4 linked regions of the Lepisosteus oculatus genome follow. The protein of the gene in region 4 purifies or fractionates together with the protein of the main gene of each other region. This does not show direct contact. Links are inferred from orthologs where the notes say so. Each region holds a gene or a part of one and is shown on either strand. Other genes may lie near its edges.

What was found.
Region 1: the proteins of hdac1 (region 4) and zinc finger protein 609 purify together in Homo sapiens (co-immunoprecipitation; 4 studies listed by BioGRID and IntAct, with this or other methods). This does not show direct contact. The link is inferred for Lepisosteus oculatus from reciprocal best matches to the Homo sapiens genes HDAC1 and ZNF609.
Region 2: the proteins of hdac1 (region 4) and kpna1 purify together in Homo sapiens (affinity purification with mass spectrometry; 3 studies listed by BioGRID and IntAct, with this or other methods). This does not show direct contact. The link is inferred for Lepisosteus oculatus from reciprocal best matches to the Homo sapiens genes HDAC1 and KPNA1.
Region 3: the proteins of hdac1 (region 4) and bcl11aa purify together in Homo sapiens (affinity purification with mass spectrometry; 5 studies listed by BioGRID and IntAct, counting the BioPlex papers as one, with this or other methods). This does not show direct contact. The link is inferred for Lepisosteus oculatus from reciprocal best matches to the Homo sapiens genes HDAC1 and BCL11A.

The regions. Positions count from the first base shown.
Region 1 is NC_090700.1:60,139,096-60,146,310, reverse strand, and holds the start of zinc finger protein 609, read left to right. Parts: upstream 1-4,196; 5' UTR 4,197-4,671; intron 4,672-7,215. UniProt on the Homo sapiens protein: Transcription factor, which activates RAG1, and possibly RAG2, transcription. Through the regulation of RAG1/2 expression, may regulate thymocyte maturation.
Region 2 is NC_090700.1:4,265,993-4,273,724, forward strand, and holds the start of kpna1 (importin subunit alpha-5), read right to left. Parts: upstream 3,007-7,732; 5' UTR 2,814-3,006; intron 1,007-2,813; 5' UTR 999-1,006; coding exon 873-998; intron 1-872. UniProt on the Homo sapiens protein: Functions in nuclear protein import as an adapter protein for nuclear receptor KPNB1. Binds specifically and directly to substrates containing either a simple or bipartite NLS motif.
Region 3 is NC_090712.1:9,969,515-9,976,827, reverse strand, and holds the start of bcl11aa (BCL11 transcription factor A a), read right to left. Parts: upstream 3,003-7,313; 5' UTR 2,706-3,002; coding exon 2,651-2,705; intron 2,176-2,650; exon of another isoform or gene 2,046-2,175; intron 2,015-2,045; exon of another isoform or gene 1,781-2,014; intron 1,325-1,780; exon of another isoform or gene 889-1,324; intron 1-888. UniProt on the Homo sapiens protein: Transcription factor. Associated with the BAF SWI/SNF chromatin remodeling complex. Binds to the 5'-TGACCA-3' sequence motif in regulatory regions of target genes, including a distal promoter of the HBG1 hemoglobin subunit gamma-1 gene.
Region 4 is NC_090706.1:3,430,505-3,438,454, reverse strand, and holds the start of hdac1 (histone deacetylase 1), read right to left. Parts: upstream 3,009-7,950; 5' UTR 2,946-3,008; coding exon 2,897-2,945; intron 849-2,896; coding exon 736-848; intron 69-735; coding exon 1-68. Other genes in the region: tyrosine-protein kinase Lck, read right to left, coding at 7,695-7,900. UniProt on the Homo sapiens protein: Histone deacetylase that catalyzes the deacetylation of lysine residues on the N-terminal part of the core histones (H2A, H2B, H3 and H4).

The sequences.
Region 1 (7,215 bases), on a different chromosome or scaffold from region 4:
CAGCAGGAAATCCAACCTGCACATTCCAGTGCAGCCAGTGAGGACAGACAGGAGACCTGGGGCCTGGATTACATTAATCAATTATTGCATAAGAGAATGCTTCTTCACAGAGGCCATTTGACAGGCAATTAGGGAAGGGAGAGGATACACAGTTCCAGTCATGCCATTTCGATAGGGAATCCAAACTGTTGCATATGCGACAAGACATTCAATGTGTTGTTTTGCTAATGCACTGGGGAGGAGAGATTCCCCCTGAGGCAGATCTCTGACTTTCTTCCCAGGTTTACTAGTGAATGTGGAATTGGGCTTAAAAATAGTCCATGCAAGTATTTTACACTCAGAATAGGCTGGCAATTGACTCTCCCTGTTAATGTAACACTTCAACTCCAGTATTTATGACACATATTTTGCTATGCAGTCCATCCATCCAGACTTGCAGTGAAATGATAGAAGAAATTTGTAGCCTGGAACTGAGTGGAGGGACTCAGATCTGGGAATTGGACTTGTCAGCGTGTCTAACTCAAACCAGGAAATTCCCAGAGCACCATCTTTCTTGAAAACACAACCAAGGACACCCCTCTGGACTGACAACAAGTATAACATCCAAGACAGAGTTTCTGCCATATAATAGTGTCAACTATTATTGACTGTGTTAATAGCCTTCTCATTGTCCGTAGTGGAGCCCTCAAGAAAAACATTGTGTAATGGCACTGTGATTTAAAAATAGAAGAAAAACAGGCATGGGACATTTACATACAGTAGTATTTCATCCGAACTGCTGTCTGGAGATTCCTTCATGGAGACTCATAAATACCATGCACTCTCTTTATTTCTGCTTGAATCCATTTATTACACTAACCACTGAGATATTTTGTTCCACATTATTGTTTAGGAAGCCAGTCAGCTGAGGTCAGGCCTTTATTTAAGGCTTACATAAACCTCTTGATGCTCTGACATAAAGATGAGCTTCACACAAGAAGAAGCTTTAACTGCTCTTCAGAATGAGAGAACGGCGATTTTCCCCTCGTGTTCGCCTCGCGTCTGACTTGGATGACAGCAGACTGCATGCAGAGTGGGCTCAGGCCCATGTTTTAAGACAGCTGAAGGTTCTGGAATGGAGAGGAGGGCAAAATACTGAAATCTTTGTTAAAAATACCAAATTGCTGTCATCTGCTGCTGTATGTTTTGATTTATCCAGACCTCTTTAAAACCGGAGAGTGCAAATGTCCTCTACAGTTCACATGGTAAGTTCATGGAAAAGATTCACAAGCCTGCTTCCCTGAACCGTCAGTAGCCACTAAGATGTGGAGGATCTGATTTTTAATTCCCTTGTCTTATCTTCTATTGGGACTGTCATATATTTTATATAGTATAGTGGTTAAGCAGACTCATCTGATATGGATTTGAGGCAATTTTTGGAACCACAAAAAGGCAGCAGCCATTGCAGTTCTTTAGTGACAACATAATACATCTGACGTCTCTAGAATTCGATTGGAAAATCGGTGAGATTAATAATGCAGTAGTGTGTGTAAGACTTTGAGACCCTGTGTCCACAAGGGAAGAATCCCTCAAGTTGGAGCACTGAGGATGTGGTAGGCAGATGTGCGGCTTGTTGTTTCAGAGCAAGCACAGAAATATGTCTGTTAAAACAGCAAATGTTTCACGATTATTCCGTTGGACTGATGTTGCAGTCTAATCCTAGGCCTGGAGCCCATCTTTCCTGTTTTGAATGCGTTCAGGGACGGAGAAAATCTTAGTCTGGCAGCAGCTGATTCGTCTCATCGGTGGTTTGCTTTCTGAAGAATTTGACACTTGAATGTTTGAAGCCAGCCAAGGATGATGAACCACAAAAAATTAAAATCCAGTACGAATTACATTACAGTTCTGTTTTGGACATTTCAGCCAAAGGAACAGTAGCCTGACACACAAAGCCGTAAACACGGCCATTATAGTGTAAATACGTTTTAGACACAAGTATATGAACTAGAATAATCTGGTTTGCGTTTGTGATGGCTAAGGTGCTGCAGGTACAGGGGAAATCAAATGCCTTTCGATTCATTAATAAATCACAGGGCCTTGTGACAAACTTCCACATCTGGGTCTGACAGTTAATGAGGGCCTCAGTCTGTGTGCTCCTGAAAAGGATATAGACATCAAATGTGAGAATCCCAAGGGCAACATTATAATAAGAGTGGCATGTACTTTTAGCTTAAACTCCCACTGAATGCTTTTTTATCTAAATTAGACCTGTAGACGCTGATGGTGATGACTTCAGACGCAGATAGCATTAAAAAGAAGTGCCCTGAGAGATATTTTGACAGGAACTGTGCTTCATATCTGGTTATTAAAATCTGAGTTGTAAGAAACTGCCACGGAGACTCCTTTCCTCTTAGTTTCACTAGCGGACTGTATATTGTTTTGTTAGCATTCTCCTGTTACTTCTCCGGAGTAATTAAATGTGTTTGGTTAAACAGTCGCCCTTATAATGTACGATTTATAAATGGGAAAAGAAGGCCCCTTGCGTGTCAATACAAGCAGCAATCGTACATGTACAACCGAGTCAAAATGAACTACACTGCTCACGCCAAACTGGAAGGGAAACGCGAGTACAGTGCAAAGAAAATGAAACAGAATCTGGCTTCGTGTTGCCTTGAGTTCCCAGATAGGTTTATTTTTGCTCTAGGTTTCACAAACCACAAACGAATCACGCTATATTTTATACACTGTTTGAAACTTGCGGGGATATATAGCGAATTGTTAACTGTAGAGGAATGTATATATATATATCTCTCTCATCGCAGTGTGAGCCTGGGAAGCAGTGAGAAATGAAAGGTGCGTCCGAAAACAGTTTTCGAGATGAATTGGAGATTCTAGATCTCCACCGTTTGAACCGTTTGATCGACGCTTCCTCGGTTCCGCGTTTGAAACAGTCAGGTCCGTTCGGCTGTCCAAGTCACAAGCTGAACCGTTGGTAAGTGTCGTGAACTACGTGTCGTTTTTAGTACAGCAAGGGCTACTACATAACAATTATTCTGTACTTTTAAATTTGGTTCATACCGGTTCTAGTGGGCCTGTACGTTTTTCTAGGCTGGTGAGATACGCCTTCTTTATAAAATCCATTTTTATACACGCCACTCGATGTAGTTTTATAACCCAATCCTTGCCTTTTGACTGAAGAAAACTGTGCAAATTAATTTACCTGATTAGCTCTAAACCCATTAAAACATTAATATAATATATACTGTTATATACCCCAGTTATATATAAACGGGTTGTATGCAATGTGTAAAATGGTAGTATTGAGCATTTAAATTTACTTTATTCAACAATAATAAATGTTTTTAATATAATGGGTACATAACATTCAATGAAAACAAGCAGTGGACGCTTGGGTTTTGTGTTGTTGAAATAAAAAATACAAAATGCAACTTTAACAGTTTACCTTGAGACGTAGTTCCGTATTTCAAAAATACCAATAAGTGTATTAATGTTGAGGCTTAGATTTTTGTCTTTGTATACTTTCATTATTCGTAAACTCAGCAGTTTTCAATGTATTTTTGTGAGTTTACTTGTTTCTGGCTATATCTTATAATGCAAAGGAACAAGTAACAGGTTTATTCCATGCTGAAAAAAAAGACAATGTTTCGGCCGTGGAGCCTTCTTCGGAAGAAGGCTCCACGGCCGAAACGTTGTGTTTTCTTTCTTCTTTTTTTCAGCAGGGAATAAACCTGTTACTTGTTCCTTTGCAGACTACGCATGCTGACGCAGCTACCCACCTGAACTGCTATATCTTATAATGTCAAGTTGTATCAGGTTCAACAAAAAGTGCAAGTTTTTTATGTACATAAATTAGTCCCGGGGTTACGTATGCTATGCTTTTGTATTTATAGCTCCTCACATTTGCCTTGTGTAACACGTAATATTCGTAATACTGTACTACTTTATTCGGTATAATACATTTACCAACAGTTGTAAAAATGTTGAACGCTTAGGAAATGGAAAACTCGCATTTAGTACTGCTTCTGTTACGATTTAAAAACCATCCATGAACACACCGGCTTCATTAATGAGAACACATGGGTTTTATCAAATGCAAGTGACTGGCGAGCTGAGTAAAACTCGCCAGTCCACAACTGGAGAGAGTCCAGTTCCGGTTCTTAGCGACGGTCCTCGTGGTCGCGGTCCAGTCCGTGCGGAGTCCGTGCCTGAGCTTGCGTGCGCCTCGTTCTGCTTGTTGGTTACATTGTATCAATCTCCCAGCATTGAAAGATACAAACAGCCATCAAGATATATTAGAGATACAGAGAAACAGAATCGGGGGATTTTAAACTGGTGCGAAAACCGGCAGAAAACTGGATTTTACTTCCCGGGACCGGAGGAGACGTTATATAACTCGAATCGGGCTCGCGATCGACCCTAAAAATGCCCGTTTTAGCCGGTATTTTTCAGTTTTGAACGGGATTCAACGTGTGATGGCAGCAGTCCAGTGAACTGGCCTTTCCTTCCCCTGCTGTTGGATTTCTTGGGAGTTCTATTGATTTATTTTGTCTGTTTATTTTGAATAAATCGGTGTTCCTCGCATTTTTCCCACCCCCCCCCCCTCCCCGACCCCCAACTTTCTGGATCTATGGAGTGTACTTAAATATTCGTGGGATCGGGGTGCTCAAGTGGGTAAGTGCTGGAATTTTTCGGGTCTTTTTTTCTTAATGCGGGAGGTATTCACAACTGCATGCTTGCCGAAAGCCCTTTGTCTGGGAGACTCCAACAGTGGATTTTTATCCTTAACTCCGAATTACAGCAGATTCCTTAACCTTTTCTCCCCACCCAATACGGCTGCCGACTAAAACAGAACGACGGCTCAGGAAGTGTGTTTTTCTTTCTTTCTGGGGATTGGAGAAATAAACAATTTAATTTCACGCTCGTCTCCCAAGCCATCCAGCATGAAGTACTGATTTAGAATCACCAGCGGTCTTTCTGAAATTAATATGTAATTGCATGTGCGTTCGCTCTGAACTGTTTCACGTAACCATGTAGAATAAAGCTGTCTTTGAAGGCATTACTTACACCTTTTCAGAATGGCATATTTAGTGAGAAAAGTACATAGATTGGGTAGAGCACACCGAGAGGGCTTTGTGTTTTTAAACCATTTCGAATCACAGGAGTTTCCTGTTTCTATCAAGGGTTTTGAGTCTCAAAGCCCAGCGCTTCTTAGATAATCAAATTTTAGTTTTACAGAGCGGGATAGTCCCCAGAGGTGTAATTTTATCTACTCTGTAATCATGTTCGGCCTTTTCATTAGGCTCTTGCGCCGATGTGCATTTATGGCACACTAGTCGGGGGTTCATTCTTTTGTACAGGAAAAACGCGGTCATTTCTCACATTTGAAATTATTCACAGGAGGTTTCGTCCTCCTCCCCCCTCACTTTTCCTTTGCAAAGAGTCTTCTTCAGCGTCGCTAAAAAGCTCAACGACAAGAATCCAGAGATTTGCGAATTGCATCTGGGGCCTGTGCCTAATGTTTAACCTCGTTGGTCACACACTGGTGGGCATGTTCCGGAGGCGTTTGCAGCAGCGCAGTGCACAATGGACACTGTCTACATGATGTGCCCAGATTATGTGCTTGAACTGGCGTCGGCAACCCTGGCGCAGTTTTCATCCGAGGGGTCTCTTGGTTTTCTTGGTGTGTGAAATTGTACCTCACCTTTCTCGAAAGCGAAAGTAAACTTAAAAAAAATATGTATATTGCAACGGTTTATATGTTTGAGGCCTTGATTGTAATTACATTTAGCACGTATGAATCCACCATGTGATACTTGAGTGTAAGAGAGCCAGTTGGGGACCGTAAAAAGTGATTATAGGACTCGGCACAATTTATTGAGAAAAAACGTAGTTATTACTGCTGTTTTTACTTAAAATCCTAAAATGGATGTATGTTTTCTAGTGAAGTGGTTGGTTTTATGTGCTAAGTGGTCGATTATCAAACGGTTGTCCATTGAGGACAGTTGTAACTGCATCTCCACAAAAATGTAAAATATAATAATTCGACAAAGACCAAGTTATAAATCCCCAATTCCTGTTTTGGTGTTGAATTTTGTAATAAGACTATAAATCTAGTTTCTAAAAGTGTGAATGAGTGAAGAATGACTTTGAGAACATACCCACATTATTTTAATTTGCCTGGAGTCATCCAGTAAGCTTTTAATTTGGTCAAAGTGAAATGGAATGTGAATTGGGGACGATTCAGGAAGGGTTTATTAAGTGTATGATGCTGTTTTGTCAGTGTTCGAATTGAATGGAGTTCCCTTGTTAATTATTTTAATAAGAAAGCCTTCAGTACTTTCCCATATTTCTATAATGTTGTTATTGTGTCAGGTATTAGTATATGCTTGACACAAGTATATATCTTAAGTATTACGTTCGGTTGCATTGGGAAGGATGATGTGCTAGCACAGAATTAATATTTAAGGCATTTTAAACACCCCCAGTTAACAGAAGTGTCCTATTGCTCTCTGTTGAAAGCCACACTCTGATATAAAATCATAATTGATGTATTCAAGACCATAGATCTGCTGATTAAAATGGTTGGAGAGAAGGGATTATCCTTAAACAGTTTAATTTAAGGAAAGGTCCCACTGCACTGTTCCCAAGAGCAGGGTTCTAATCCTAGTGCAGTGGCTGTATTCCACTTGGTCCTGAACAATATGACCTCCCTAAATGTCCCCTGTGGTTCAGTTGATGTAATTTCTCACTTCTGCTCTATGCTGTGAGGGCATAATGGCTGCCAGAAGGCCAGCAGGTGAGTGCTCAGTTCAGTGGATGATGTGGGTCACCCCCATGTCTGAAGCACTTTGAGGTCCTTTGAAATCTGAAGCGCTGTGTAAATGCTGGGCATAGCCAGACCCTTTGAGAATTGTCTGTTTATATTACACATCTTTGGTATTGAAGGCCTATATCTTTAACAGATTCTCCCTGTCAACCTGTATTTTTTCTTGCCCATTGGGTTTAAGTCCCAACAGAAAATGTGTACTTTGTTCAGAAATGTCTAGTTTTGTCTTATTGGTTGTCATATAGCTGCTGCCTGACGGTTTGACTTCTATGGTCACTTAAGAAGATGTATGATGAAATAGTTAACTACAGTGGTTTCCTCTTGTGCTGTACATATGTTTGCATTTTACATGTTAGACTTTACATAGACTTTGTCTTTGCCCTTAACAT
Region 2 (7,732 bases), on a different chromosome or scaffold from region 4:
ACCAGTCCAGCACCAACCACACAGCAGCACTGACCACACACACCAGTCCAGCACCAACCACACAGCAGCACTGACTACACACACCAGTCCAGCACCAGTACTGACCACACACACCAGTCCAGCACCAGTACTGACCACACAGCAGCACTGACCACACACACCAGTCCAGCACCAACCACACAGCAGCACTGACTACACACACCAGTCCAGCACCAGTACTGACCACACACACCAGCCCAGCACCAGTACTGACCACACACACCAGCCCAGCACCAGTACTGACCACACACCATCACAGCACCAGTTACTGACCACACGCATCAGCCCAGCACCACTACTGACCACATACCAGCACTGACCACACACACCAGCCCAGCACCATTACTGACCACATACCAGCACTGACCACACACACCAGCCCAGCACCAGCACTGTCCACACACCATCACAGCACCAGTTACTGACCACACACATCAGCCCAGCACCACTACTGACCACCCACACCAGCCCAGCACCAGTACTGACCACACACACCAGCCCAGCACCAGTACTGACCACATACCAGCACTGACCACACACACCAGTCCAGCACCAAACAGCCACTGATATTCTGCATGCGGTTTTCTACAAGGGGCCATATCCAACCGCAAGAACAGAGTAACTATGCTTGCAGGCTTCTAGTGAACAGCTGCTAATTCAGATTTGTCCCTGAAGAACAGAAGAGGAGGCTCTTTACCCCATCTAGCCCAGTGGGCTAACCTAACTGCAGCAGGTTACAGGCTATAACTGACAGCCCCTGAGAGTAAACCGAAGGCAGCGCTGAGCTGCGCATTTTTCGGGTGGCCCCCCGCAGCCCCCGGTTACAGGCCCACCTGTTCGTCTTTCTTCTGTTTCCGGAGCTGCAGGCCTTCCTCCTCCCTCCTCCTCCTCATCTCCTCGGGGTTCAGGGACTTGTTCTTGTAGCTCTTCAGCCGCACGTTGTCCCTTCCCGAGCTCATCCTGGCGTCTGCACACAGACAGGGGCCCAGAGGTTAGTCCCTGCTTCTCTGGCGGGGCAGCCCAGAGGGAAAGAGAGAGACGCGCAGGGATATCCCATCATCCCAGCTCCTGCAAGCCCCCGCAGAGTGGCCGCTTGTCCTGGCTGGAGCTAACGACTGCAGAGAGGGCAAGGGTCACAGCCGGGGTTCGGGCTGGGATCGTTAGTGCCTTGGACCCATCTAGCCCCTCTGGCGGTAGCTGAAGGACCCGAGGACCTCGTGCAGCTGTTTCTAGGAAGAAACCAGGGTACTGTCTTCAACAGCATGGTCAACAGCTGCTTGTTCCCCACTCCCACCACCCTGCGGTGTAAAGAAGCCCCTCCTGTTCTCGGTGTTAAATGCTCAGAAGGGGAAACACTGCTGGTCCTGCACTCCTGGAGCGCCAGGTTTCAGAAAACAAATGTAAAAAGCCACGTGCTTCTAGTCACAGTGGAAGGCCTCCCCTTCACCGCTGAGCACCAGCAGGCTCACCAGCAAATCGAACCCCCTGGTCTCAGACCTGCCTGGGAGCTGTCTGAGACTCCTCCCGATGTGCCCGAAAAACACAAGCGGACTCTTTGCCAGCAGTCTACCAGCGGGTAGAGTAAACAGCCTTACCCAGTGACCCGCCCTGACAGTGTTTACAGTGGATCTGTTAACGCTTCTGCTTATAACATACCCCAGCACTGATTAGTATTACCGGAGCTAACTGGGACTTTTAATTTTAAGGGGACTTTAAGTGAGCATTTATGAACGTGCAGGTGGACGGCGGCCTTCAACGCCAAGGGCTCATCTGATTATCACGACGTGTGACGACGGATCTCTGACGTCACGGGGTTCTACCCTGGGTGCGAACGCGCTCGCGAGACCCCCCCCCCGGGGTCTCCCCGACCTTCTCCTGCCGCTCGCTGTCAGCCGATATCACAGGAGCTCGTATCAGCCGAGAGGTTCGTGTCACCTCCAGTGTTTTGCCACACCTCTGCCACCGGAACACGGCGTCTTCGGCCTGCGCGCTGGGGAGAACGAGCTGCATCACGACACACTGGGAAACCTACACGCACTGGGACGCACAGCCCAGCCCAGCAACTGAAAGATACTGAAGGCTTTGCAGCAGATTGGTGGCTTGAGATGAGTTGTTGTTGTTGTTGTTGTTTTCCATGACTGGAACAGAAAGGGACACCCCATATAATGACAGCATGTGTCAGGAGGTTGTTTCTCGGAGAGAGAGAGAGAAAAACAACCCGGCCAGTTTTGTAGGTCATTTCCTTAAACCCCCCCAATTGCTACACACTGGGGGACTGCTGCGCTCCGGCCGCCGGAGCAGGCGGTGAGTTCAGAGACCGGCTGAAATGTCACCCCCAACACCTGGTAGCGCTCCAGGGGTACAGCCAGCCACCCCCCGGTACATGACATGCGAGAACAGAAATCCGGCTGGAGCAACAAGCACCGGACTTTCTCCGCTAAATGCGATACGGCCGATTCCGTCGGTGCAGATGTAACACCGGCGAACGAAGTGCCAGTGCCGCCGAGCCCGGCCAGCGTTGGTCCGGATAAAACGTGCCAGCGGCGTGTCTGAGGTCTTTACTATGACCGGCAAAACGGCGGATGACGGCAGTGCACCGAGGTTTTGTAACTGTACCCGTAACTGTGCAGATCTGATATATTATACAGTCGTGCACTGCGAATGGCCCACTTTCAGAAAACACGGGGCGAGTGTGTCTCGGAGAAACCAAAAGCAAACGCTGACCTTATCCTAACGTGGACTCCACCGTGTCATAACACAATAGTCATACTTACATGGATGTCTCGACGTGTTTTTCGTTTCAAATACTGTGTGATCCGGCTACGGTTCGGAAAGTCCGCACTCCAAATCTACCTTCTCTCCTCTTTACCCACCCCCGTCGATGACCTGACTCAGGCGCTTCGGCTTTTTGTAAAAAAAAAAAATTTTCTCCCTAAAATTCAACGTCCTGCCAGGCCGCTTCCAGCTACCGGTGTGCCAGTGCGCATGCTCGCCCAGCCTACTTCCTCCTTCTCCCCCCCCCCCCCTCCACCGTGTCTGCTGGCGCGCATGCGTACGACACACAGCCCCCACCCCAGTGAGGTTTCCACGCCTGCGGAGTGCGACCCAGACTAAGCTCTTCATTGAGTGTGGCTGCCCGGTGTACCTCCTCCAAAGCCGGACGTTTTACAATGCGTAGGCGCCATCGCAGCATGATAGCTACAGAGTATTACAGAACGCAAGATTATTTCACGGCATCTCTGCATTTCTCATTTACCTGAATTCCTGCTGGAGGTCAGTGAATGAGGCATGTATTTGGTCATCTTCCTGTTTCTCTGACCTTCCCTGGTTTGACACCCAGGAGAATTTAGCCCTCTGCCTCCTGCATCAACTTCAGCAAAATAGCAAAAATAGTTAATAAGAACCTATTTTGCTCTTATTTATTCTACCTGACGTAGGTTCAGTGGAGGCAACCCAGAAATGATCTAATAAAGAGGCACGCACACACACCGCTACATCTCGACTGCAAATAAACACCTGGAAAATTCTCTCCACTCCGACGCCTGGATCGCCACGTTCTGTCCCAGGATGAGCTCTATCACCAGGCGGCCTGAGCAGACCCTGTCCGAGGAGGGAAGCAGGATTGTGGATCGTCGCTGTTTCTGTCATAAACACACCGAGGAAGTAACACTACAGATTGTTTTAATAACACGGTTTCAGTTTTAATGTGTATTTTCCATAGACACATCTTTAACAGCTGTAATTTCCTACCCTGGTAACCTCAAATTAACCACTATTGGTGGTGAAGGCACCGAAGAGTAGGCACCATACCTTCAGCAAGGGGGGGCAGGAAGGAAACTTACAGGGGCGGAGCGGTGGCTCTGTGTCTGTGGCTGGAAGGTTGCTGGTTCATATCCCACGACTGGCAGAGGAATCCTACTCCGTTGGGCCCCTGAGCAAGGCCCTTAACCCCAACTGCTCCAGGGGCGCCGTATAAATGGCTGACCCTGCGCTCTGACCCCCAGCTTCTCTCCCTGTCTGTGTGTCTCATGGAGAGCAAGCTGGGGTCTGCAAAAAGACACATTCCTAATGCAAGAAATTGTATATGGCTAATAAAGTGATCTTATCTGATCTCACAGGCAGGGCTCATTGATGTCCTTGATTTGTTTTTAAAAACATCCAAACAAATACAGCGCTTAAAAAAGATCCTTGTGAGTTAGGTTGTGAGAATGCAGTCCTCATCAGCTGCATTCTCAAAAGCATTGAACTCTGTATCTGGCTTGAAGATTGACTTTTTGCCTGGCATGCAAAGTTAAGAGTACTGATGTCCTTTAAGCGGGTAGAGGATGCACTTGTGTGAACTGAGCACAGAAACCGCTGGGATGCTTGGCTTGTTAAAAGGTTCACTGCTGTCCCCACCTCTGCTTTGTAGAAAACTGCTGCAGGTGCAAAGGCAGAATGATAGTGATGAGGATTTTGCACAGTGATCATGATAAGTGAATGACAGTGAGAAAGGGTTTGCGCAGTGATTGTGATAAGTGAGTGATAGTAATGAGGGATTTGCACAGTGATAGTGTTAGAGGCTGGTTGTGCAGAAATACAACCCATACACACAATGTTCTGTTTTGTGCTGCTAGAACTCTGACTTAACCAGGTTAGTGAGTTCAGAAAGCGCTAATGAATTATGCAGAATGTTGCCTTTTCTGGAATCCTGGGGAAATTGTAGGGTGCTTAGAACTAATCTGATGCTGTAGATGGAAGCAAGCCTTCATTTCTCTGTGCCTTCAAACCCGGGGTCTGTAATTTTAGTCTTTGCTGCTGGGAAGCCTGGGAGGGACACAGGAGAGGTGAGAATGTATAAATACGCAGACAGAAGGGGGAAAGGGAGAGAGGAGAGAGAGCAAGAGACTGACAACCATACAGAGAGCTCGGTCTGTCACCTGGGCACAATGAGAAGACTGGTTCTGTTGCTCCTGGTGATTGCTCTGCTGCTCTGGGATGCAGGTAGGACACTGCAGTTGGCAGACCAGGCTGAGGTCGCCTGAGCTGAGTGATTCGTCTGTTTATAGTTAGTGGGCAGATTAGACGCATTTTAAAAGCCCAGTCCCTTCTTTCAAATAATTAAACTGAATAAGCACAGTCATAGCAGAATCCTTCATTAGAACATTAGCAAAAAATAAAGCTAATTTTTTTTGTTTGCTTGGGTGTTTCTCAACATTTGCATTTTTATACAAAAAGTTGTATTCTATATTCTGGTCGCTTGCAGATTAGAATGGTGTATGTTTTGCAATAATATTATTTATGGTACCTGAAAGTTTCAGGTTGTTGCACAACGCTAAGGTATGCGTATACGTAATCTGACAACTGGAATCAATTTCCTGTCGTAAAACTCTGTTTTTTTTTATTTTTTATTAACCATTGAGTGTGTGTGTACTGCAGTTAGCATGTAGTGCATTTTTCCTCATGAGAGTGCATTTAGTTAGTGCACGCACTGAGGCACTGATAAAGGACTCCCCTCTCCCACCTGCATCACCCTCTCTCTCCAGAGGCAAAGCGCAAAGGAAGCAGCCGACACAAGTCAAAGAGCAAGACAAAGGTATCAAAGGCCGTCAAGGAAATTGCAAGAGCACTAGGTGAGCTCTAAGCATTTTGTTTCACAGGTTTCCCATATTCTGTAGGTCTCCTTCAATTATCCATAGCACAAGACTTTGAAAAGAGTTAGCTAACATGAGGCATAATTGGTCCAGTTTAACTCTCCTGCAACAGGTCTGAAGCTGCTGATGTGGTTTAAGAATCCTAAAAGTAAAAAAACGCTGGAGTGTGACATTCCAGGACCAGATCTGGAGACACCCTTTCTGGGTCGAGACAACGCTTTCTGATATGGGTACAGTTTCTCCTGCATCCTGGCTCAAGCATCTGACGGTTTATATCAGATATATTCCCTGTTTCTTCTAGACATCCACAGGGAATTATGGTTTTCACCATGCCAGAGATCTTAATGACCTAGATTACTTAATTATTGAATTAATTTATCTAAATTACACCGTTGCCAGCTCTTTGGTCACAGAAGATTGCGAGTTTTTGCTTTCTGTCTGTTTAATTTATTCAAAGAGATTTGTCTCCAGACAACAGTATGTGTGAGTATACAGGTGCAGACATACTTAGACATTTAATATTCTCATTTATGCTTTTCTCTAATGTGAACTTGACTGGTCAGAGGAAAATAAAAAAGAGCAAATCGTGCTCTAGCAATACTCTGTGAAAATACCTGACAGACGTGTTTATTCTTGAGCAGTTGTCCCTCTCCATGATCCACACACTGTCATTATACTAATTACGATCATTAGGAGCCCTCTCCAGTAAGAGCAGGATACTCCTTGCGTTCCACAGCCCTGTAAACACCTCTCTGTCACTCAGGGCTACTCCTCCCCAGCACAGTGACACGTGGAGAGAGTCCTGAACAGGACGCAGTCTCATCCAGCCATTTCTTAAAGAAGCCAGCTTGTTGCCATGAGAATTATGTCATGTAAATCATCTAACAATTGGTATTCCCTTTCCAGATCCACAGGGTGTTTTGAATCCCACTAATAAAAACGACAAAACCAAAGACCTGGGTAAGTTGGGTCGATCTGACAGGACCCTTTCCTTACTTTCCACTGGTCTTTGCCTTCCACTGAGTGTCACATGAAACAAAATACCCTGTAGGATAAGTGGAACAAAAGAAGCATCTAATGAGAGTTTAGAGGCAAAATGGTTGCATATTTCTAAAAAAGAGCATTGTTCAGGACTTCTTTAGGAAAGATCCAGCATAACACCTTTCGGAAGCCTACATTTCCTGTAAAAATTGTATACTGTATGTGTGAATATGAGCTGTCCATAACAGGTCAGAAGCAAAGCAACCTCAAAGAGTGTTGTCAGTCTGAGTGCAGCGTCTACAAGCAGATCGCCATTAACCTAATGTGAAGCCTTGTTAATTCAGTGTCATTACCTGTGGGTGCTAATTTCCTTTTTCAGAACATTGTCACTGGCTCTAATGCTTTTCTAGAAAATTATAAGTTCTATTATGAACTACTGATCTTTAAAATATCTATTTTTTCTTTTAGCTAAAATTGCTGAAGAAACCATTGTAAATGAGCAAGTCCGCTGTAAGTACAGATAAAACTAAATATGTTCAGAAATCATAATCATTCATTACCAACATTTCTGACTCAGTTTTTACTTCTCTTCCTGTCTAGTTACGACCCAATGTAAGTCCAGCCTTTTTACTTCTTATTTTTAAAATGTCTTTTTAGAAATAAGTGTTTGTTGCACTTAATTCATTAATTCATACACATGGTGATGCTTTGATCTTTTCTGCAGTTACCAGCTGGCTTCATAAAGCTGTGGATGTTGGTAAGAGATTTATTCTGAAACACTTTGTATCAGCTTATGTATGATGAGTGTATCTGCACAGAGATCACTAGATATCGCGCAGTGTGCCAGAGAAGAGATAGATTATGTGAGAACTGATCAGTTACCAGAGTCAGGAATCACTCAGTCTTCTGGCAACTGTCCACCCTGAGACCTGATTCATTAAACTGAATCTGTTTATTTTAATTGTTATTAGTCAACTGATTCTAGTCAAAACCATCAATTCGTCCATCTTCTAACTGCTTCATCTAATTCAGGGTCATGGGGCAGCAGGAGTCTGTGTGTAGGCTAGCGTCCACCCTAG
Region 3 (7,313 bases), on a different chromosome or scaffold from region 4:
CTGCCACTTTCTTATGTTTACATTACTCGGGGGAAACATTTTTTGAAAGTTTTTTGCCTGCCCACCATGTATATAAAAACAATCTCTCTAACAGGACAAAACTGTTTTATCATTGTATTTTCTTTTAAAAACAACTGTCTCCAAGAATACACTCAGTAGCCTTTGTCAAACAATTTAATGTATACTTAAAATATTTATTAAAAGTGGCAGAAATAATGAAATCCAGGAAAACTGGATAGCAACATTGTGTTTTTGCTCCATATTTTACTAATATTGAGCATACATTTTTACAGTTCACTGATTTCACGTGTTTTTGAAAACGTCTTGCGATTACTTCTAACGTAACAAGCGAAAATGTTGCTTTGATTCAGAATACTTTCAACAAAGTAGCTTGCTGTGAGGAACTGGATCTTCGTTGCTAGAAATATAGGAAAGACACAAAACCTGCACACAATTAAAAGGGCTTCATTTAAAATTACCTTTTGAACATTTCATTGTTAGTTTGCATGCCTGAAATTTTTTTTAATTAAAAACTATACAACTGTATAATAAATTCCACCTAAATTCCACATAAATTTCTTAGCCTTAGCTCCCCTGAATATCTTAAGAGAGGAGGTAATACGACTTTCCTGATGATTTAATACTGAAACACGTGGATCTAAAGGAAACACGCCACACAAGGACATTTTATAGTTTTTCCATTTTGATTTCCTGTCTTCAAACGAAAATTAGAATACTCTCAATATAATAGTATATTATTCTATATAATAAGTGTAAAAAATACGTAAGTTTCATACACGTATTAAACTCAAAGTACAGAAAAATGCTTACGAGCTAAGGTATGTAATGAACGAGGTGGACAACAATAATAAATCATAAAATACTAACCTTAAATGGAGAGTCTTAATGCCTGAAACCTCTGTGCATACTAAAGCTTATTATTTATAAGTTGATGCGTTACAGAAAATGTTGAAAATACGCGTGGCTTTCAATTACTAAATTAAAGCTCCTTTTCATTTTCATGATTGTGAAAGGGTACCAAAAGTAAAAAAAAAAAAGATATCCAGTAAATTAGAAATCATTTGAATGATCGACGGTGTCTCGTCATTTATACGAGTTTAATTTACTTAAAATAAGATATAAAGTGGGTGGGAAAAAAGAAGCTATAACCTGCGTATTATGTATTTCCTTTTTATTCCAAACATATCGTCAGGATATGTAGATTGAGGTGGCGGTGAAATTGATCAGGTTCAAGTTCATTTCCAGTTTATGATCATCTTCTGCCTCCTAGCGACAGAACCGTCACACAAAGCAATACTTCAATGCAACTTAGACAAACGGCTCGCTTTAACACTAATGTGTCTTGAACAAGGAACATTACGGAATCGTTCTCGCAAGATTCGAGTCGTTAAAACGCAAGGTTTACAGATCTTTGTGAATAAAGATGTAAAACATAACATTTCATTCATTCAATCGCGAATTCCGATCTCTCGGGGTCCCAAATACGCTTGCTTACTGCGTTTGCCAAATGTTGGACGGTTTTAAACAGTGTGTCGCCTTCGTTTCCAATAAAGCTTTAAAAAACGTATCCACACGCAAAAACAAACGTGGCGAACTTAAATATCCCTGAACACATGCAGAGCCCAGACGATAATGTGCTATATACGCCGCGCAAGTCTGCAAAATGATTACTTTTTGCATCTATGAAAAGCAGAAACGAAAACAGAAAGAGGCAACTCAACTGTTCTGACTCGCATGCATACATTTTATTTTACCTTACCTTGCGAGTTTCCCTTTTACGTTAAAGTAAAATAAACATAACAGTCGATCCAAAAATCTATGTGTAAAAAGGGGGAAAATATTTAATCGAAAAGAAGAGTAAGCCGGGGTTCCTGTTCCTCTTTATAAAGCCGTCCCCTAAAACAACTAGAGTCGAATCTAAGAGCAATCTTTCTCAAGTAGTGCACATAAAGCTTTTAGATTACAAATCCATCCGTTTGACAGCGGTCTACGCAGCTTTCGAAAGAAAATTAAGCGAATATTACTCTTTTTTTTTCCCCTTTCGATGTTGTTGGCAGGAGGTTCCGCACACGCGGTGCTTGTAAACAGTCAGACACGAGATTTTTCCCAATCAAAATCCACTTCCACTTTTTTGAAAATCTTCCAAAAAATAGTACGAGAGGAGGGAAATCCTCTCCAGGCAGTAAACAGACAGTGTTACAGGGGCTTCCACTAGAAATAATAAATATGATAAAGCATGCATACCTATTACAATCGCCTTCCTACCCTATGCCCTTTAGCGGCTTAAGCACAAGGGGTACGAAAGGCATATCTTAAGCACGCTAGAAAATCTTATTGTAAAAGTGCTCCGGATTCAAAAAGCTGAATGCAAAAAAATAAAAACTTTTTTTCTGCTTAAGTTTTAAGAAAACCGCATTTCGTATTGGCATTTCTGGGTGCAAAAGAAATCTCGCCACGCTTTTTTTTGTGAAGTCCACTTGACCGCGATCTTCGGTGTCCAATGTCCAGCACCACCTTCACCAAGATTTTTGCTCCTGGTCACTGTTTCTCTTCTTTACTGCAGGAAATTAAAGACTGTTGCTGGAAAAAGTGAAGAAAAGGGTGTAAATTACAATTTTGTTCTACTTACGCGAAAATTCCCGTTTGCTTAAGTGCTGGGGTTTGCCTTGCTTACGGCGAGACATGGTGCTTGGTGGTGGCTTTGAGCTCGGTTCACATCGGGAGAGCCGGGTTAGAAAGGAGACTCCAGAGAAAATATCTTCATCAATGCCTTTGACATCCAAAATAAATTAGAAATAATACAAAGATGGCGCAGGGAAGATGGATTGTGGGATAGCCGTCATGGCTTTTTTGAAAAGAGAGAGAGAGATGAAAAAAAATGGCAAAAGCCCCCCTGAGCTGCAAGTTCAAGTGCGGACGTGACGTCCCTGCGAACTTGAACGTCAGGAGATGGATGGACACAGACATACAAAACATGGGCAGGGCAAAGACAGAGAGTAGGAGGAGGGAATGGAAATAACAAAACCAATGGACACTCATTAGGGGCTGGACATGAAAAATAGACCCGGAGAAGCCAATGGACAGAGAGATCAAGGGGGCCGGACAAGAGGCACAAGAGGGAAAAAAAAAGCTGTCTAGTGAAAGCAGTGGGCATTGATCAGGGGGCTGGACGTGAAAAAAATAGACCAAGAAAAGCCAATGGACAAGGGATCAGGGGGCTGGACATATGGCAGTGAAGGGAAAAAAAAAACCCCGTCTAATGTAAGCTGTCGCAGTGGACATTGATCAGGGATCTGGGCACGGAAACACAGTGAAAAATAAGTTCGTGGTCACACAGCTAGACCACCTCGTGTGTGTCAGTAGCCAAGGAGCACAGCGACCACTGAGCTAAGAAACGAAACAGAACTTAAGATATTATTAGCAGGTTGTCTGTATGGGACAGACAGGTTTCGCAGCAGGGTAAAAGTAAAGGAGGACTAGGAGTAGAAAAAAAAACAGCAAAGATCAAAAGAGGGTTAAGAAATTAAGCGGCTTCTTTTTTTTTTTTAAACCGAAGTGTAAAGTCTGACACACGGCGACGGTGGGGGAGTGAACGAACTAAGTTTGAAATAAACATGTGATGCAATAGGGGTTAAAGCAGGTAAAGGTGGGCTGTGAACGAAAATTGGGAGAGGATGCAAATGTCCAAAAAGATCTGCGGTGGGTCGATGAGTATGTTCCAACAAAGGGCTGGGAGACGAAAAGGGGGAGAGAAAAACACAGACACTCGCGGAAATCGATTTAGGAAAAGAACAAAACGCCTCCCAAAGAGCGGAGACTAAATAATGACAGCTTATACTAGAAGAGACACCAGGCAGAAAACAAAAGCGATGACATGAACTGTGTATGAAGTGGGTAGGAGAAATAGCCATGCAAACTAATAAAAAGTACTAAGACTAGCGGCTGCACAAGTGAATCACAAGAGCGAAGTGGAATGAAAACGTGAGCTAGACGCGGATTCTGAGACAGGATACAAAGGGGATGGGGTAAAAATGAATGGGAAAATAGAGAAAGAAAGGATCGGAGAGGAAGTTGAGCATCGGAGAAAAATCTCAGCAGTGGGGGAAAATATTTGCCGGTCAAGGTTAGTTTATTTACCGGTATTTGTCAAACAAGTCCTGGGTTTCTTTTTGAAGATTTATGAATATGGAAAGCTAAAGTTTGGAGATTATGAAGATAGGAGAGTATATAAATATGTGTTATGGGGATACGACGGGGAAAGTTGTAAATGCCGTCTACGAATATTAAAAATGAGAACGTAGTCTACTGAGTAAAGAGTAAGATTGCGCGTAGACCTGGTTCGTACTGGCGGTTTCAAAGGGAGTATTAACGTCTCGGTGTCAGGAAAAGCTACCTGAATATGAGCCTTCTTGCAAAATACGGGCTACAAAGCAGGCTGATATTAATAAACATGTACGAAACATACGATACGAAATCTCAGAAATGAGAAAGCCTAATCTAGAGGGTTTTAAGAACAGCTTTTAGAACAGTTTCAGAGAAAACGACCTACTTAAATATCGGTGCAGGCTATTCTTTCTAAAAGGGGTTCTGTGTCCCCTTAAATCAAGCATGTAATGTCTTGCAGCTGCCAAGAACTCATTTCGATGTGGTATGAAATTATTCTTTATTTTTAAATTAAAGTAAATGGGACACTGACTAGTTTTTATGTATAAACAGTATATGCTAGTTGAGTCCTGCTGTCTAGGCTAAAGTGTTAATATCTTACGCTTATCGGAGGTCCCTAAACATACTGTAAATATGAGTGCTTAACTTAATTTAATACGTACACTTGAGTTAAGGTTACTTTTCTGCAAAAATGCAATATTCTTTCTTTGAAATGTTGCAGAGGGTTTGTAAGGCAGTTCTATCTGACCAAACGATCGTGCTTATACTAACCTGTTTTATATATACAGTATATACCCACTATTTGTTAATTAAATGTGATTCAATGTTTTAGTGTATTTAACGTTTAACTTGGTAATGTGCGTTAAACATGGGCTGAAGCATAATTAATAATAATCCTTTATTATAATATATAAGTAGATATGACATACTTGACCACACAGCTCTTGCGTTTAGTCATACTTTATATAAGAAACACTTAAGAAACTTAGTAGCAATTTAAAGTGGGTGTTGATCATTTTTTGCAGAAAACGGTCGTGTTATGTTGATTTATTGCATGGGCGCAATGTTAACGAGAGTGCAACGTCTTTCTAATATATAATACATCTCAGTAAAAGTCTATAGCTAATCGATATATTTCTGATTTTATGTATTCTTTATGTGAGTGTGTGATGAATATTGAGTAAAATATATGCTGCAACACTTAAAGGGCATTACTGGTATGAATAATGAATATCTAATAAACTTATCTCTCATAGAGTCCTTAAATAAAATTGTACGTAAACGTTTGGTATGCTGGTAATGCATCTCCCTTTAACCCTTTGTGTTCATAAAAAGAGGGCCCACATACATTTCATGTTAGGTATTTCATATAGACAAACTGGATTTGATGGGGTGTTTAGTAACATAATTTAATTTAAAATGCAGTGCCTTTCTTCGTGAAACAACTTTCATCTAGAGGTTACAGAAAAGCTAAATGCCATGCAAACACCAGATATATTCTCTTTAAGCTCTTTGAACACCTAATGGGTTTTTTTGGGGTTCTTAACTGCAAAACAGTCTGAAATGACAACTGAGTTATATTCCACAGAGACCAGACAACTCTTCAGATTTATACAAATTAATTGTTCTGGTATAGGATTTGTCTTATACCCGTCACGGATTCAATTACTGAAGTATTGCCTTTGTGTTTTGTCATGACATTTGTGCACAAGTCTGTTGTGACAGTGAAGAAGATACCCGGATGCAGTCTGGTAATATTTTTCTAAAAGTGGCATTTCTTTTTCACTTTAACTTCAGTAGCATATACCGTATGAGTCCCACCCCCCATCCTCTAAATTTAAGCTTTTGACTACTCTTGATTTTTGTCACGCTTTTAACTTCTAGTATTTAGGAATTGGACAGATTGCTAGTTAGGGACTCCAAGGGTCAATCTGGTTTCCATAAAATTGTCAGACATTTGTTGCCTGTAGTTCTGTAATTTCCCAAACGGAAACAATTGCCCGGGTGATTTGATGTGAAAAGGTGCTTTTGCTTTTTAATAGGCAGTGAGATTATATTGCGACAGATTACAGCTTTATTGCTGATTTTGTAAAGAACAATGCAACTTTCAGAAAGTGTTTGTGTTGACAAGCTCAAAGGGGTGTCCCTACTTTAAAGGAATGAAATGGGAAATGGTTAAAGATCAAGAATTGTATTAATTTATGAAGTTGACAATAAACATAATCAATGCATTTCAGGTGTCATTGCACATTCCTCCAAACAATGAACTAGACTCTGTCAAGTTGATTATGTAAATTGTGTGTGTGTGTTGTTTTTATGTGCAATGTACTGTTTTTATTGAAGGTGTACAGACACCTAAGAGTTACATATAGGGGTAAAAATAGAACAAGCATTAGATTATTTTCCATATATATATGCATCAAGAAATTAAGGTTGACATCTACCAAGCAACTTACTGAAGTGGTCTGTTTAATCTTACCTGCATCTGTGAGGTGACACCAGCTTGCCCAGCCTGATGCATTTTAACACTACATGTAATAGTTTGATATTATACATACGATAATGTACCTGAGGCAATCAATCCATTTGTTGTTTCAAAAACGTGTTGTCCTGATTCATTATGCATTACACAATCCTGTGTTTACTTGATTTATTATATAATCATATAACGATTCTCTAAGATTAATAAAACACTGTGCCATCGTTAATTTAAGGCGTTTACCTTTTAACGCCGTTTTAAACGACAGAGGAGCTTAAGGTATTGGAATTGACTCATAATTTGTCTACTTTAAGGGAAGGATTAGCCTACAAGAATTAATACCCAATGGCAACCATATGATGTTAAAGCTGAAAAATTAAAAAAAACTATTATGAACGATAATACGGTCCTGTGGCTCAAATTCCGTTTCTTAATCAGGGCCATAAAAGAGCACTTAACTTTGTTGCTATCCAATCAACAACTAATAGGTTCTATTTCAATCACAAATTGCAAGGATTTTTCCAATCACGTGCGTGGCTTCCTCCTAATGTACCCTAATAACAATTTTAGCATTCAGATGAAGCGATTTCGTTCTGCGACCGGCTTTTGTATTAGATTTGATTGTGAGAAGCCCCGATGGGTGCCTCTA
Region 4 (7,950 bases):
CTCAGGAACTTGATGTAGTCGTCGCTGTGGTACTTGGTCATCTCCTCGGCGTTCGCCTTGTGCGGACGCTAAGGAGACAGGGGAACGGGAACGTGAACACACGGAAAGAAGCCGCACTTCCCAAAATCCCGACAGGGTCGTCCTGGGACCAGGACCCTTGCAGCCCATCCATGTCAACAGCCTTCCCTTACTTCCTTCGGTGTCCCAGATGGGAAACGTGCTTTCCTGCCAAATAAAAGGAGGTACTCTTTGTGTTACATTTAGTCCATTAAGAAATAAAAAAAAAACATACATAAGATTAAATACCAAGTCTGAAACTTTATGAAACTCTCGCAACTGAGGAACATTGATGGTCATCAGTGAGTGAAAAAGATACACATGATGAATATTGAACATAACAAATAACTAAACCTAAAGAGGCATCATGGGAACACTATGAATGCTTGAACATGACAACAGTACCAGATTATTTACTCTTTTAACAAGGCATCATGGACAGCCACTACAATTTGCTCCCTCGAAAACCCTGTAGTTTGAGGTCTGTTTGGCAAATATTTTAATACTTCACCATATTATTTATTCCTATCTCATTACCGGAGCACAAACAGAAACCCTAAATAAACACACAACTGGCACAACTGGAACAGGGACGGGACAGGGTTTATAAGTTACTAATGCATGCAGCAACATTATCCTGAGAGTAAAAGAGAGAGAGAGAAACACTCTCGTACTTACATAAATTTCCATCTTCCTGTACAGCCCATAGTTCAGGAGCAAGTTGTGGGTCATCCGGATTCGGTGTGGCTTCATGGGGTGACCCTGACCGTAGTAATAGTTCCCAACATCCCCTACGAGGGCAGGGAAGATGGGAAGGAGCTGCATTAGAATTGCTTTGGCATTCGCGAAACCAACAGCAACATAAACAAAAGCATTCATCTTCAAAATCCAGATTCCTCAACAATGTGCCAGTCAAACAAATGTATCTACTTTGAAACGATCTAGGAGATGAACACTGGTATGTTGGAGGACCAGAAAACGTTACAGACCATACACTGAGAACAGTAATTAAAACCACAAATAAAGTTTTACGAGCTTAGAGCACTACCACAAATGAATACATGACGATAAAAAAAACCTGTCTTGAACAGAGAACACTACTGTACTCGAATCAAAGGCTGAATATACTCAAAGGCACTGACACCATCATCCTAAAGGACATCTTCAAAATGAGCAGTGAAACACCACCCAGAGGTCACACGCGGAAGTGCATAGCAAACTCAGATAGGAGGCTGTCTTACTTTACATCAAGAGTTGTGGGAGTGCACAACAAGCTACCAAGTCATACTGCTGATGCCGAAACCCTGGTTTCTTTCAAGAAACAGCTGAATAAGGACATTGGATCAATTAGCTACCAACCAGAGAAAGGACTAGATGGGCAGATCGGCCTTCGTTTATAATGTATCCACGATGAACTCCACTGGACCAAAACCTACATTTTATGGCAACGTTCAGAATTAACCAAGCGCCACAAGTTTTACAGTCAGCACCACGATCGTACATATGACACAAGCTAAACCCTCAGAGGACATCAAACTACCACCTCTGTGTACACTTATCATCTGTGCTCAAAGAAAGGCAAAACACTGCTCTTAAAAAGATAGGTGCACCCTCCAAAAAGGTGCTGGGTTAGTATCAGGAATAGTTATAAGCAACACAAGGTACATACCACAATCTTTGCGTGTTTATTAATGCGATGGATCCTAACCAGACTGCTGCCTGAAGATTTTACTGATCGTTTTTTTGTTCTCTTACACCCCTCAGCAAACTGCTAAAAACCTGCTTCTTCAGAAGAGCCTTTTTCTGAACTGGCTCTGATCTTCACCCCTCTGCTCCTACAGACTTTACTGCCCCTCTCATTGTGCATGTTCTGTATTATTGCCATAAAAACGAACCAACCTCCCGAGATAAAAAAAAAGGTGCATCTTTGGAGAAACTAAAGGAACGATTTAAGCAACTTGCTGTTGCTCGGTGGTTGCAAGGCCAGCTGCCCTGGCATGACTATTACAGGCTCGGAGGAGCGAGTCCACCCATGGCGGTCCGTGCGTGTCAAGCCACACCGGGCGACAGGGCCGAGGGGGCAAGGCGCCCCCACACAGCGAGCCCACGCAGGAGCCCCTCTCCGGCGGGGAGATGCCTGATGGAGGGGCCACTTCAGCCCTGTCTAGAGGGGGGGGGGGGGGCTGGTGTCAAACGAGCACAAGGGAGAGGAAGACCTCGCTCCCCCGCCTTGACGCATCCCGCCGCCCCGCTGCAAATCGATTCACAGCGGCTGCATCCACCGCCGGGGAAAAAACAAAAAACAAAACAAAAAAAACCCCGCACAGCATCAATAATTAAGCCTCTTTTTTCACTCCCCGGGTGTGCGGCATGTCGACCCCTCCGGGGCGGTAAAAATAAATAAATAAAAGGGACGCAGCAGCCCGTCTTTTTACCGACTCAGGTAACCCGGTCGCCGGGGGGAGACGGGCGACTTCGGGATTATTATGATGGCCAGTATGACGCGGGACTGGGGGGGAAGAAAACCAGCATGCAAACGCTGGAAAAGCCGCCGGAGACCACTGTGCATCGATAATTCAAATTTAGACCCCGCTTCAACTTATCCTGGCCATGATTTTAACTACGTTGCCCGGCAGCCCTCTTACTGCGGGAAGGAGGGGGTACGAGATGCTGCATGGCTCTATGAGCGCTTGGCCGGCGGACTCACCCCCCCCTCCTCCTCCCCCCAAAAAAAGGCTTTAAAAGAGACGATAAACGCAGCCCTCCCGGCGAATATCTCCGTGCGTGCACGTTACGCCGGCCGGGTTTTAGGAAAATACAACTTAAACTTTACCCTTACCGTCATAATAATAACAAACTTTTTTCTTTGTTCCTTGAGTCAGCGCCATTTTACCTCCAGACACAGCCACGGCCTGTCTACCGGGCGCTACGCAGCCCTAGCCACAACCGGGAACCTGGATTGACACCGCTGGAGCCAATCAGAGACTAGCTCGGACCGTAGCGGGCGGCCGTCTTTCCCCCTTTTGTCCAATCGCGTCCTTCGCAGGCGAATGGGTTATCCGCCCCTCTACAGAAGATAAACAAGGGTATGAAACTGTGTTTCTTTGAGCGCCATCTTGGCTCCGGTTATCCGTCCAGTTCAACCCTAAAGCGGTGTTCTCCGTGGGATCCAAAATGGCCCCAGTTTCAAAATGTCCAATATTCGGAAATCTCATTTTTACTTCAGGACTGTACCATTGTGGTTTAGTGTCCAGGGCGGCAGGGGTAACAATAAAATCGAATTAGACCAAAATAAATTTAAAAATATTTATATGATAAGATAAGTTTATATTTTTGGCGCTAATTCGTTTTAAGGGGTCACTTAATACTGTTTTTACATTGCGCTACGTTCATGGTATGAACCAGGTAGCTACGTGCAGAAAGCCAGCCTTATTTTTTAGGCTTGGAACTGGTGTTTGTAATGACTGGTTAGTAATATCACAAAATACCCAGTGTCACTTGTTAAATATTACTTTTGAGTGACATGAAAGTTCCAAATAATTTTCTGTTGGCTTCACTATGGCATTGCTTGGAAAGTCACCTGATGTGTGGTATACTAATCTAAATAAGAGGTTACTATTTGGGCCCCAGACTCTGGACTGAAGGCTATTGGGTTAAATCTTGGGGTGTATCTCAATTAATGTTTTACTAATTAAATAACTGTTTAGATAAAAAAAAAATCAGTGTCGTATGTTGGACCACAATATTTTCTCTCTATATTGTAACACGAAGGGCTTGGCAAGGATGGAGACGAGAACTCAGGCTCTTTTAGCACAAACAGTCAGCGCTTTGTTAGTCGAATGGCTGTCCAGTTCAGCAACAACCACACAAGAGCTAAAGCACGACAAAGCAGGTTACACCACACGGGGGTCATTTCAGGTACAGGTACGTGGGTAGTTATAGGGTGGTCAGTGGGCACAGGTATAAAAGGGGTTCAGAACTGGGGAATAACTATTTTACAGTGATTTCACACAGTGTACAGCCGTTCCGGATGGTCAGCGGCGCTGGCCCGAGGCCCCCTATCAATCAATCAATCAATCAATCAATCAAAGTTTATTCATCAAATGCACAACAATACAGCATGCAGCAGTAGTTGCTGGCAATGAAATGTCTTTTCTACGAGCTCACTGGGGGGGGGGGAGGGTTTAAAAATCACAAAATTAAAGTTACAAAATAAGGTTACATTATAATAGTGCAATAGAAATCGCATTAAATATAATATAAATTATGATATTATATATAAATAGAGCTGCGATGTGCCCAGGGTGTATGCAGTACATTATATCAAAGTAGTGCAGTATGCCGAATACAATGAAAACTGTGTGTCCATGTAGCCATTCCGGGTGATCTGCTGAAGGAGCTGCTGCTTGGCTATTTAGCAGCCTCATTGCCTGGAGGTAGAGGGTGTTGTGTAATCCCTAGTCCCTGCCCTGGCTGTTATTCCCGTCCTGCCCTTCATCGCACACTTTAGCCAGGCGAGGGCACCACAATATCAACTTCAAAATCCTCGTGCTCACCTATACGACTCTACACGGCTTGGCACCTCAGGAAATGTCTGACTTCTCATCTTCCCCCTTCCCGCCTCGCAACCTTTATTTGTCTTAATTCTGGTCTCCTGTCCGTTTCCAAGCCCGTGTACATATTGTGGGTGACAGGGCCTTCTCCTGCTTTGCCCTGAAGCTCTGGAATTCTGTCCCCAAGGATGTCAGAGAGTCCCCTTCCCTGAGCCCTTTCACACCCAGACTCAGCATCTTCTCCTTCAGAAGGGCTTTTATTTGACTGGCTCTGCATCTGCCCCTTTGTCTTCTTCCTACTACTACTACAATAATAAATCTTCCGCGTAACCGCTGTGAACAGAGGCTACTGGTGCCTCAACATCCTGCACAGGAGCGGAAGTACCAGAGCAGTGTATGAGGGAGAAAAGGTGAGGAACGTTCACAGAAGTGATGTAGATAAACAACCCTATGATGATGCCTCAAGGTCGGGCAGGAGCAAATGGGGTGACTATCTGGACTCTGACAGGTTTTGTTTTAGAATACTTTATTGGCCATATACAATTTATTTTATTAGGAATTTGTCTTTTCACATACCCCAGCTTGCTCTCCATGAGAAGTTTGGGGTCAGAGCGCAGGGTCAGCCATTTTATACAGCACCCCTGGAGCAGTTGGGGTGAAGGGCCTTGCTCAGGGGCCAAACAGCACTGGATTCCTCTGCCAGTCATGGGATATGAACCAGAAACCTTCCAGCCACAGGCGCAGATCCCGAGCCACAGAGCCACAGCTCTGCCCTCAGAATTTGCTGATAGGCTCATCCTCATGGGCTCGACCACTGCAGCAGCTTCACATTGACCTGTCCTGGAACCCGTTCAAGTGCTCAGTTCGGCAGACCTGAATTCGTCTTTGACGCATCTGAAGTTCATGTTATGAAAGTGTCTCTTTCCTCGTGTGCATCTCTCTCGATCTGATACAGAGCAGCTAATGCACGCTGTTGTCTTTTCCAGACTTGTTTATAGTGTCGTGCATTCTGCTGCATCCAAACATTTTCTCAACAACCTGTAATATCTTCAGAATGAAGCTGTTCAGACCCTGAATTAAAATTAAAATACAGACCTTAGCTTCCACGCACTGGCTCCCTGCCGATTTCTGAAGATAATTGAAATGCTGCTGCTTACTTTTTGGGGCTTGAGTGGTTTAGCTCCTGGCTGCGTCTGTAAGTCGTTTGAGCTCCTCGGACTCTGACCTTCTTTTAGTTTCCAAAACAAGGCTCCAATTCCTGGATAACTCTGGGAAACTGAGCTCCTTTGCTCCAGGACTGTGGAATGATCTTCCAACCCATGTCAGCTCTTCAGAGTCGATCGGCACTCCCATCGTCTCTTAAAACGTATTTTTACACCTCTATGTTTCTAATTCTAATAATAAATACTGCTGCATTTCTATTGCAATTGGTATACTGGTTCTACCGCAGCATTTTGACATAGCCATTGGTCATCTCATCAGCAACGTATCTCCAGCTTGCTTAAAACCGCAACAGATCATGCAATGCAAGATGAGGCTGTAAACAGTGCAACATATAATCTAGTGTAAAACATAATTTAGTAAATGTTAAGAGTTTTGAGTTTTAAAAATAATGATGCGTTTCACAGGCGAGAGGGTGAAAGGTCGTTGTGACGGCACAGGAACGAGAAGAGAGGTTCAGGCGGGCTGCTGAGAGAGTAAGCGTTTAAGCGATCTGAGGAGTTAAGGTCATCGATTTGTACTTCCGAGGGAAGAGTATTCTGCCTCCGTCGTTTATTCTTCTCCATTATAACGGCACATGATCGTGAGAAGGAGCCGCCGGCGGCGGACAGGTGTTGCGCTACCGAAACGGTCTGGTGAGTGGCTGTAACGCGCCCGCCTTCTAGAGAGAAAAAGTACGTCCCCACGACTGCACAGCATATATACCTAGAACATCAGCCGCTTACAATAGTGACGTGACTCCCCAGAGCGGCCACGTCTTGTCCTCGGGGTCGCAAAGCTCGCCTTTCACTGAAGTGGACTTGACACCCGTCTAGACCCTGCAGATCGGGACCAAGGGGTTGTGTGGGTTGGTGGTGTCAACGTGGGGGTCAGACTAGATACTTGACACAACGTCTCCGAGTTCTTTTACTTCCAGATCCACGTGAAATCACAGCGTGCTGTTGTTAGTGTTCGAAAGCACATAAGAAAAACAGCAGTCGGCCCTTCAGTGAACGTCTTGGTGTACCTATGTGATGATTAATGACAGCGCCTTAAGGGTCCATGTGTTTGGTGCTGTGCCACATACGCTGAAATTAACTGCTTCTCCGGAAACTCATTTTATTCCTATGTTTTGAACAGTGAGCAACTCTCATTGCACTGACGTCTCTACAATTCCAACTACAAGTTTTCTTCTTTTAAAAATTAATCCGATGAAAATATTGTCCTATGTAGTTTCTTAACGAGCTCCGTTTCTGCATAACAGTTCGAGTGACACCTGGTACAGTCACAAATATGTTTATTGCACAGAGACATTTATTTCCTAATATTTTATTTGATAATTATTTGGATACACAAACACAGAGGCATTATGTGCCAATGTGTTACAGAAAAAGCAAGACCATGAGACATCTAAGCACAAAGGTTGGTAACAGTATAGCTGTAATCCAACATATGAATATTTCTATAATCAAAAATGCCAGTAAAAACAAAAAAGTAAATGTAATCCTAAATACTCTGCGATAGTATTAACACTAACGCTTTTGGAGACAGTGAAAACTTGTGGTTTACAAACGGGAATGAAGTTTTTTCCTTCAATTTCCCTTCGGGCGGGAGTGAAAAAAACAACAAAATGTTAAAAAAGCGCAACAAAGCGTTGCAACGAAGATACATAGAAATCAGAAACTCTGTACACCCAAAACCTGTAGGAAAAGCGGAAGGCTTTTCTAGGACATGAGTCTTAGATTACCGTCTCTCCTCCCTGCAAAAAACGTTTCACAGAACATTTCAAAAAAGAAAAAAAAAACAACAAAACAACAAAAGAGACCCAAGCGCCTCGCGGGCCGGGGTGTTCCGAAGGCGCTGGGCTGGTGCCGCGCCGCGCGCTCAGCTGGGCTGCTGCTGGTACTGGGCCTCGGTGGCCGTGAAGAAGTCCTCCAGCACGCTCTTGAGGTACTCGAAGGTGGGCCGGTCCTCGGGGCTCTCCTGCCAGCAGCGCTTCATCACGCTGTAGAGCTCCTCGGGGCAATTGTCGGGCTGCGGCATCCTGTAGCCGCGCTCCAGGTTCTGGATCACCTCCGGGTTGGTCATTCCTGCGGCAGACAGGGGGGTCAGGGGTCAGCGGAGTGTGTGTGTGTGTGTG